Linked DNA regions of Coturnix japonica. The main gene of each other region encodes a partner of the protein of the gene in region 2 in a complex. Links are inferred from orthologs where the notes say so. Each region holds a gene or a part of one and is shown on either strand. Other genes may lie near its edges.

The links. Proteins that work in one complex are often made in the same cells at the same time.
Region 1: CDHR2 (region 2) and ANKS4B share a complex: the UniProt entries of both Homo sapiens proteins name them as parts of the IMAC/intermicrovillar adhesion complex. The link is inferred for Coturnix japonica from reciprocal best matches to the Homo sapiens genes CDHR2 and ANKS4B.

What each region holds. Positions count from the first base shown.
Region 1 is NC_029529.1:12,774,110-12,778,160, reverse strand, and holds the start of ANKS4B (ankyrin repeat and SAM domain-containing protein 4B), read right to left. Parts: upstream 2,805-4,051; 5' UTR 1,890-2,804; coding exon 1,726-1,889; intron 1,686-1,725; exon of another isoform or gene 1,082-1,685; coding exon of another isoform or gene 1,044-1,081; intron 1-1,043. UniProt on the Homo sapiens protein: As part of the intermicrovillar adhesion complex/IMAC plays a role in epithelial brush border differentiation, controlling microvilli organization and length. Plays a role in assembly of the complex.
Region 2 is NC_029528.1:12,170,785-12,174,955, forward strand, and holds the start of CDHR2 (cadherin-related family member 2), read right to left. Parts: upstream 2,809-4,171; 5' UTR 2,786-2,808; coding exon 2,583-2,785; intron 1,990-2,582; exon of another isoform or gene 1,975-1,989; coding exon of another isoform or gene 1,813-1,974; intron 1,532-1,812; coding exon 1,456-1,531; intron 1,064-1,455; coding exon 1,006-1,063; intron 813-1,005; coding exon 747-812; intron 668-746; coding exon 528-667; intron 423-527; coding exon 369-422; intron 234-368; coding exon 144-233; intron 1-143. UniProt on the Homo sapiens protein: Intermicrovillar adhesion molecule that forms, via its extracellular domain, calcium-dependent heterophilic complexes with CDHR5 on adjacent microvilli. Thereby, controls the packing of microvilli at the apical membrane of epithelial cells.

The DNA.
Region 1 (4,051 bases), on a different chromosome or scaffold from region 2:
CTGATCACCGCTCACTGCCCGACTTGTCTGTCCCTGGGCAGTTGCCCGTGGAGCAGCAGGGCGTCCTTCACGCTGTGGGGCTGCTGGCACAGCCCTGCCCGCTCCCTGCCCCCCCCAGCTGCCCACTGCCAGGTGGCACCAAGCAGCAGCACGAGGCCGGGGGGCACACAGCACACCCAGCTCTCTGCCTGCACTCCCGGAGCAGGGTTTGGCTGCCCCATGGCCCTCCAGGCAGAGCACTGCCAAGGCCTTTTCTGACTCCTTTGCACGTCAGGGGACACCACAGCGAGTGGCAGTGAAGGGTCTTGTTGTGCCCGCACAGTGATGGCTGGGAGCAGCAGAGGGTAAATGCAAAGCGCAGTCGCAGCTTTGACTCCAGTGCTGCTGGGTTGGGCTCGGTCAGATCCCGGTTTTAGTCAGCTCTGTTGTTTCTACGTAAGGTTCTTTTGCTCGTGGGGTCTGGAAAGCAGAAGTTCATTGGGAAATTGGAAAACAAAAGGAACAAAATAAAAACCAGATTATTTTCAACGACTGCGGCCCTGGTGCAGCACAGACCGGCCGAGCGCAGCTGCTGCTGCCCGGGGGGACGAACGATGGAGACAAAGGGCTCGTGCTGCCCCACCGCCCCTGGGGCTGCGTGAGCTGCGGGGCCGGGCGGGGAGGGAGCTGGTCCGCGCCGCATCTGTCGGGAAACTGCCTTTACTTCAAGGAAAGGATGAATTCATTACACAAAAAGAAAAGACCTCAGAGGAACCCCTACAGTTCTGTGACTCCGTGAAAGCAGGGGCGGCCAGCAGAGCAGACCGAGCAGCTCCCACAGCTCAGCCCCCCCCGCAGAACACGCACCGAGCAGCAGCGGGACGGAGCACCGGGATGAGCGGAACCGGAGCCGCCCCGCGCCGGGGGAGCAGGAGCACGAGGGGGAACGCGAGCGGCACCGCGGGGCTTTGTGCCCCCTGCGGGGCTTTGTGCCCCCTGCGGATCCTCTGAGCGCGTGCGGACGTTTCAGTTGTTCTCGTGGCAGGGGGGAATGTTGAACTCACCCCTGGAGGTGGCTGTAATTCGTTCCCTGGGCGGTCATTCCCCCCCGGGCGCCCTATGGACTCTCAGTTCCTCCTTCATCACACGCGTGTTTTGCTTTTTCCCTGGGGGCGCAACCACGGCAATAGAGTCCAAAGGCCCCTTTTATTGTGCAGCCGCGCCTGAGCCGTACAGCGGAGCTGCGGCAATCCCAGCTGGGTGTGAGGTTTTCAGACCTATTTCTAGGCAAGGAGAACTAAATGCATCCAAGCAGTTGATCCGACGTTTCCCCCCCAATCTCCCTTAAGCCATTTAGATCAAAAATACAAACCCGGGGACAACATAACCTTCATGTCACCCCAGCACAAACATTTTCTTCACTGTTTCCCTCCTCCTAAACCTTGCGAGAGAATCACGGCATAAAACATCGGCTCTGGAGGGAGCACTACAGAAATGGGGACACGGGCCCATTCGGTGGCGCTTCAGGGTGGTTCCCTCCCACGGTAACCGAAGGATTCGCCTCAGGAAGCAGGGGCTGCTCGGCCGTTTGCAGAGCTCAGCGCCCCGCGGAGCTCACAGAGCGCCCACGAGTGCGGCCGCAGCTCCAGCGGCTCCCGGGGCGTCACTGCGGCGGCGGAGATGAGAAATGAGCGTTACCAGGAGCCGGAGCCGCAGCCCCCGAGGGATGGAGGCTGCTCCACTCACCCCCTGCGGCATATGATCTCCAGGGCCTCCAGGCGCCCGTGGTACGCGGCCAGCAGAGTGGGCGTCATCCCGTCCTCGTCCGGCGAGTTCAGGTCCTTCTTGGTGGCTTCTTTCAGCAGGTCCAGGTAGCCATCCGCCGCTGCCCGGTGGTACCTGCTCGACATCTTCGGCTGTCGGCACTGCCCGCCCACGGCCGGAGCTGCGGCATCGCCCCGGGGAGGGCGGCCCAGGGGAGCGAAGTCCTTCCCGGCGCTCGGCGGGCGGTGCTCGTGCCTTCCTGCTGCCCGTCCCGAGCGGCGGCCGCGCCTCTGCCCGCGGAGCTGCTGCTTCCCGGCGCGGTGCGATGCAGAAACGCGGCGGGTCCTTCGTCCTTTTGGTGGCCGATCTGCGGCACAGACGGAGCAACGCGGCCGGTTTCCTCCAGCGCTGAGCGCTCTGATGGTGCCGCGTGGGACGGGCTGCCCGGCCGTGTCCAAACAGGCGCAGTTCCCCGTTTAGACGCTGTTCCCACGGATGGCAGCGGGACGGTGGGTCACCCCTGTGAGGGAAAACTTGTGGAACCGGAGCACAGCGCTGGGTGCTTGGAAAAACTTCTCCAAAAGAGCTGTGATGCATTGGAACGGCCTGACGGGGGGGAGTCACCATCCCTGGGGGGATCCAGGATCCACAGAGATGATGCAGCGCTGGGGGATGTGGGCAGTATTTGTGGTAAGGGGATAACGGATCTGGATGGCCCTGCAGGCCATGGAGATGATCAGAGGATGGAGCAGCCCCACTATGAGAATGGGCTGAGAGCTGGGCTGTGCAGCCTGGAGAACAGAAGGCTCTGAGGGAACCTTACAGCCCTGCCAGGACCTGAAGGGCCTACAGGAAAACTGGGGAGAGACTTTATAAGGGCAGGTAGTGAGAAGACAAGGGGAAATGGCTTTAAACTGTTAGATGGCAGTTTAGACTAAACATTGGGGAGGAATTCTTTACTGAGTGTGGTGACACTGGAGCAGGTTGTTGTGAGGCTGTGGATGCTCCTCCCCAGCAACACTCAGTCCAGGCTGGATGGGGCTGTGAGCAACTGGGCTGTGGGAGGGGTCCCTGCCCATAGCAGGGGTTGGAATGGTCTGAAAGGTCCCTTCCAGCCCAAACCATTCTGTGATTCTATGATTCTGCCATTCCCAAATCTGTTTTCTTATGTTCAGAAGTTTTACTGAAGAAACGCACTCAGCAGGTCGGCAGCTGAGAAGGAATCTGGGAATGCTGGGAGCCAACACGAGCTCACACGGTGCCATGGGCTCCCTGCTCTCCTGGGCGCACTCACAGCTGCTGCCACCTCGGTGTGATGCTCTGCTGGGCTGCGTCCTGTGCTGCCCCATCCCGGGATCACACCGACCCGCAGTGGGACGCTGGGCCGCCCCTGTGCGTCCCCACACATCCCGACTGCAGCCCCCGGCACCAGGTGGGCACAGCAGCCGCCTCCGGGGCTTCTCCTGGGAATGGCCCCTGCTGCAGGAGCAGCTCGTTCCCACACCTTCATGAACACCCCGTTAATTAGTTCAACGCACAAAGTGTTGATCTCAGTGATGGTTCTCCTCCAACATCTCAAAAGGTTTCCTTCAGAAGGAAGCTTTCATACGGTGCTAAGTGGGATGCTGTTGTTCCAGGTTTTAATTGGGGGCAAAGCAAAACCCCCTTCAGCTGGAGAGCAGCTCTGGGACCTCGCTCGCTTTTTCATCCTGAATGTCCCCAAATGGGCATCACAAAAACAAAGAAGAAAGGAGGAAAGACCAAACAAAATCTCCATCTATTCCCAAACTCCTCTTTGTTAATTCCTGTTCCTTCTGAAAACCTCGACTTAAAATGTGATACAAGATTCACATGATTCAGCAGCAAGTGACGTTTCCTGGCCTGGATGCAGAGGTTTCTTTTGAGAGCGATGCTCAAAGCCCTGAGCAGTTCAAATGAACCTTTTTACTGGGGTCTGAAAAGGACTGAGAACCGTTCAATGCAATGGCGATGTGCTACCAGGCTGAGGAGAAATGCTGCACTAACGGTGTGTGCTGCTGTGAGCTGGGGCTGACGGAGCCAGCAGCTCTCATTCTGTCTTTGGATGTTGCTGTCTCTGGTTATCACTGTTTCCTCCAGGACAATCCCAATGGTGGCACCACCAGTCACACATCAGCCGCAGCAGCGCGTTGGTGGCTCAGGCAGCTCAGGGCCCCACCTGCCTCCTCACCCTGCAGAGAAGCTGCCGTGTCTGCCCTGCACGATGGATCTCCAGGCCAACATCTGCTCACTGCAAACTGCAGAGCAACAAACGTGAGGGTAGAGGTGT
Region 2 (4,171 bases):
CCATCACCAAACACCACAACCACACGCCCAGGCGCAGCGTCACTTCATGCTGTCACCACACATTATTATTTCCTGTTGTCACCAGGCACACCCATGCCATGGGAATTACCCTCCCATGGGGCTAACAGGTCCCAGGAAGGTACCTCGAGGACAGAGGTTTCATAGGGCAGGTATTGGAAGATGGGTGCGTTGTCGTTACGGTCATCCACGATGATGGTCAGGCGGCTGGTGACCTGTGGGGAGAGCTTGGATAAGGGAAAAGGAGCCGGCCAGCACTGCCCCCCTGGGCAAAGCCCCACTGAGCATCACAGTCAGCATTACTGAGACCCTGCGGAGACCCCACTGTGATCCCTGTTCCCACTACTCACTGCTGTATTGATCCCGTCAGACAATATGACAAAGATGTCGAGCTTGGCCTTGGACTGGGGAGGGAAAGTAGAGCTCAGTCAGGGCAGGCAGAGCTCAGCCTCAGTCCGAGGGCTCTGCCATTCATCCCCATGGCCCCATCTCCCAGTCCCTGCTCTCACCTCACGGTCCAGCAGGTTTTTCAGTGTCACCACACCTGTCTGTGCATCAACTTTAAAGTAGAAGGAATCTTCCCCAGTGATGTCGTAGGTGATTGGGTCCCCATCTAAGTCATAGGCTGACAGACTGAAAGCAATCGCGCCTGGGGACAAGGGGAGAAAGGCATCGTCATCCCCAGGCTCTCCCCCCATCCCAGCAGCCCCCCCGCAGCCGCCCCTCACCTATCGGCAGGTCCTCAGGCACGTACACGAGGGTCATGTTGAAGATGGGAGCTGTGTTTCCTGAAGCTGCAGGGAGAACATGAGCTGAGTGCAGGGGATCTCCCCCTCCTCACCCCACAACTCCCACTCCTCACCCTCCCCTGCCCAGCCCACAGTGCCACTTTTGGGGGTCATGGATGCCCCCAGGGAAATGGGATGGAGCTGGAAGCGTCTCTGATGCTTCCCTGCAACCCAGGCCTGCACCAAGCAAAGTCCTCACCTGCTGCCAGGAGGAAGGGGAGCAGCAGCAGCGGGTGCCATGCCATCCTGCCCAAAGCCTGTGGAACACAGAAGAGAAACTGGGGCATGTTCCGAGCCCCCCCACCATGCCCACTGGAAGAGCATGGGATGGGACTGAGCTGCCCAAGGGAACAGGTCCCATCCCATGGGGATACAGTGGGGGGATGGAGCTGGTCTGTAGGTTCTGGTGACCTCAGGAGTATCTGGGGACCCCAAGACCAGCTCCTGAGCACAGCTGAAGGCTGAGTCACTCCAGATCACTCCAAGCCCCACATGGAAGCCCCAGAGAGAGCTGTGACACCCCACAACATCCCCCTCTCTTACATCACCGCCTATGGGCAGCCCCCACAGCTCACCCCCTCCAACAGACATTCCCCCACCCCAAACCCAGACTGCAGTGCCCATGGGGGGTCGTGCTGGGATCCCTTACCTGCAGGCACCTAGCCGGGATGCTGCCGGCAGCTATGCCGTGCTTGCACCCTGGCAGCACTGCAGAACTTTGACTCCTGAAGTAAGCAAGTTCATCAATGATTAACTGCAATTAAGGGGTGAGAAACTGCTTTCTCCATTCTCCTCCCTGCTGCTCATCACCCAGCTCTGGCCCAGCCCAGCAACTGCTCCCCAGCTCCAGCCCCCTGTGCTGGGGACCATCCCCGTGGCTCATCCACCCCAACCCGCACCCTGGGGACTCTGCCTGTAGGGCTGCAGGGGGACCCCAAACCCAGGGCACTGGGGAGGGGCTGAGGAACTGCCTGGCATCCCCTGGGCTGGAGCAGGGAGGTCTCACCAGGACACAGGTGGGCACCGACCCAGTGGAGCTGCCGCTGGGGCCTCGTGCATCCCCCGCTGTGAGGTTCCCTCCCTGGGGGGGCCTAGAGGGCTCAGCTCTGCCTCCCTGACCTACTTCAGCCCTGCTGGGGACAAGGGTGGATTGTGTGGCTCTGCTCATGCAGAAGAAGGCTGGGATGTGAGAGTGGGGGGAGGCACAGACACAGCCTGTACTGGCTCTGCAGGACCTCGGGCCTGGCCCTCTTCCTTCTTATACACTGGGGAGGATCTCAGGGGGCCAGGAGCCCGCACAGCTCTGCACACCCCAGGACACCCAGCCAGGACACCCAGCCTGCTCTAAGGCCCCACTGCACCCCATAAAGGGCCAGGACTGGGGTGAAACTCTTGAGGGCTGGTCCAGGACAGCCCCTACTGCTGAAGGGTCACTGTGCCCTCGTTCCTCGAGTCCCTCAGGCCTGGTGCAAGGCAGCCCACTGCAAACCCTCCTGGACTGTCCCAGGACACCCCCAAACCTTCTAAGGGTTGGCCTGGGATGTCCCCAGCGCCTCCATCCCCATCCCTACCCAGATCCACATCCTATTCCCAGCTCCATCCCTGTCCCCATCCCTGAACCCAGCCCTGTTCCCGTTTCTATCCCTATCCCTTTTCCCATCCCTGTCTCCGTTCCGTTCCCATCTCTGTTCCCATCTCCATCCCTACCCACATTCCCACCCCGCCCTTCCCCCTGTCCCTGTAGTGCGCATCCTCTCGGATCATTACGGCTCTCACCCCGCAGCGCGTTTTAGTTGCGGCTCTTTTAGGCTCATTACGGCGCTGGGGCCGGGTTGGACGCTCCCACCTGGTGGCGGCGCAGGGGGCGGCCGGTTCCATCGGCTCGGGATCGCAGGGGGCGCCGTGAGGCGGGGCCGAGGCCGGAGCGCGAGCGGCACCGGGACGGACACCGAGCCCGGCGGGCCCGGCCGCCGCGCCATGCGAGCGGGCTGAGCCCGGAGCGCGGCCGGGGCACGAACCGAGCGGCCCGAGAGCGGCGGGGGCGGCGCCTCCGGTAGGTTGTGGGGCGCGGTGCCGGGCACCGGAACCGGCGGGGGGGGCGGCGGAGCCGGGGCAGGGCCCAGGCGGTGCGACGGGGGGAGCGGCACCGGGACCGGCACCGGGAGGGCGCTCCGGCGGGGCCCGGTGAGGTGTGAGCGCGGGCCGCACTCGGGGCTGTCGCCGTGTGGGCCGGGCCGGGCTCCGTGCTCGGGGAGCACCGGGCGGCGGGACGTGAGCGGGGACGGAGCGGGGCGGCCATGGCGGCTGTGCCGCGGGGTGGGTGCGCTGTGCTGCGGGTACGGCAGCTCCGTCCCGCAGGGCCCAGCGGTGCGATGCGGGCCGGGCCGTATGGAGGCCGCAGCGGGACGGCACCGAGCGGGGCGACCGCAGCACCGAGCGGCCTCGCTCCCTGTGCCGGCACCCGGAGCCAACGCGGCTCGGCCCGGGGCTGCACGGTGTGCGGTGCGCGGCTCCCGCATCCCGGAGCTGTGCGTGGGCTGGGGCCGGAGCCCCGGCAGCAGCAGCAGGAGGAGGAGGAGGAGGAGCGGCCGTGAGGGATCGGGCTGAGCCTGATGTCAGTGCGCTGCATGGCGGGTAATAATGCACGGTGCAGTGGAAATAATAAGGCCGGCTCAAAATACGGCGAATGCGGAGCGCAGCACCGGGCCTTTGTTGGCACCTTTGGGTGCTGCTTTGAAGGCAGCGGGAGCGGCTCCGTACCAACATTAGGACACGGGGAACCGCGGCCCGGCACGTCCCGGTGCTCGGATAAGGGGCAGCGGGACGTTGTCCTTAACCCCGGTGTGCGGGGTGGCTGCCCGGTGCTGCCCGTCCATCCCCGCTGTGCTCGGCTCGTGGAGCCCGGCACGGCCCGACTGAGGCCCCGCACTGCGATGGGGGTGGGCAGGAAGGGGAGGAAATAAATGGTGAGCGGAGCGCTCGGTACCGCTGCTCCGTTTGTTCCGCTTCTTGCAGGAGCTGAGAGCAGCCGCTGCTTTTTTGTCTGCCCGAGCTGGGCCTCGTCCCACTTGGCCGTGCTGCAGGAGGAGCGGTGCTGCACACAAGGCTGCGTTGCCTTTGGGGTCGGGGCCGTGTTTATGGGGCTCCCGCTGGTTGTCCCCTCGCTGCAGGGAGCAGCACGGCCCCATCTGGCTGCTGGGAGGGATGTTCCCACCGCCCCGACCTGATGTGCTGCACGGCTCCGCTCGGCGAGTGCAGAACAAAGAGCTGAGAGAGGAGACTTTGCAAATCCCCATTGATTTGCACAGTGGAAGCTGCTCGCTGTGTGTTTGTGTCTGCCTGCCTGGGACTGGGGCTCTGCGAGG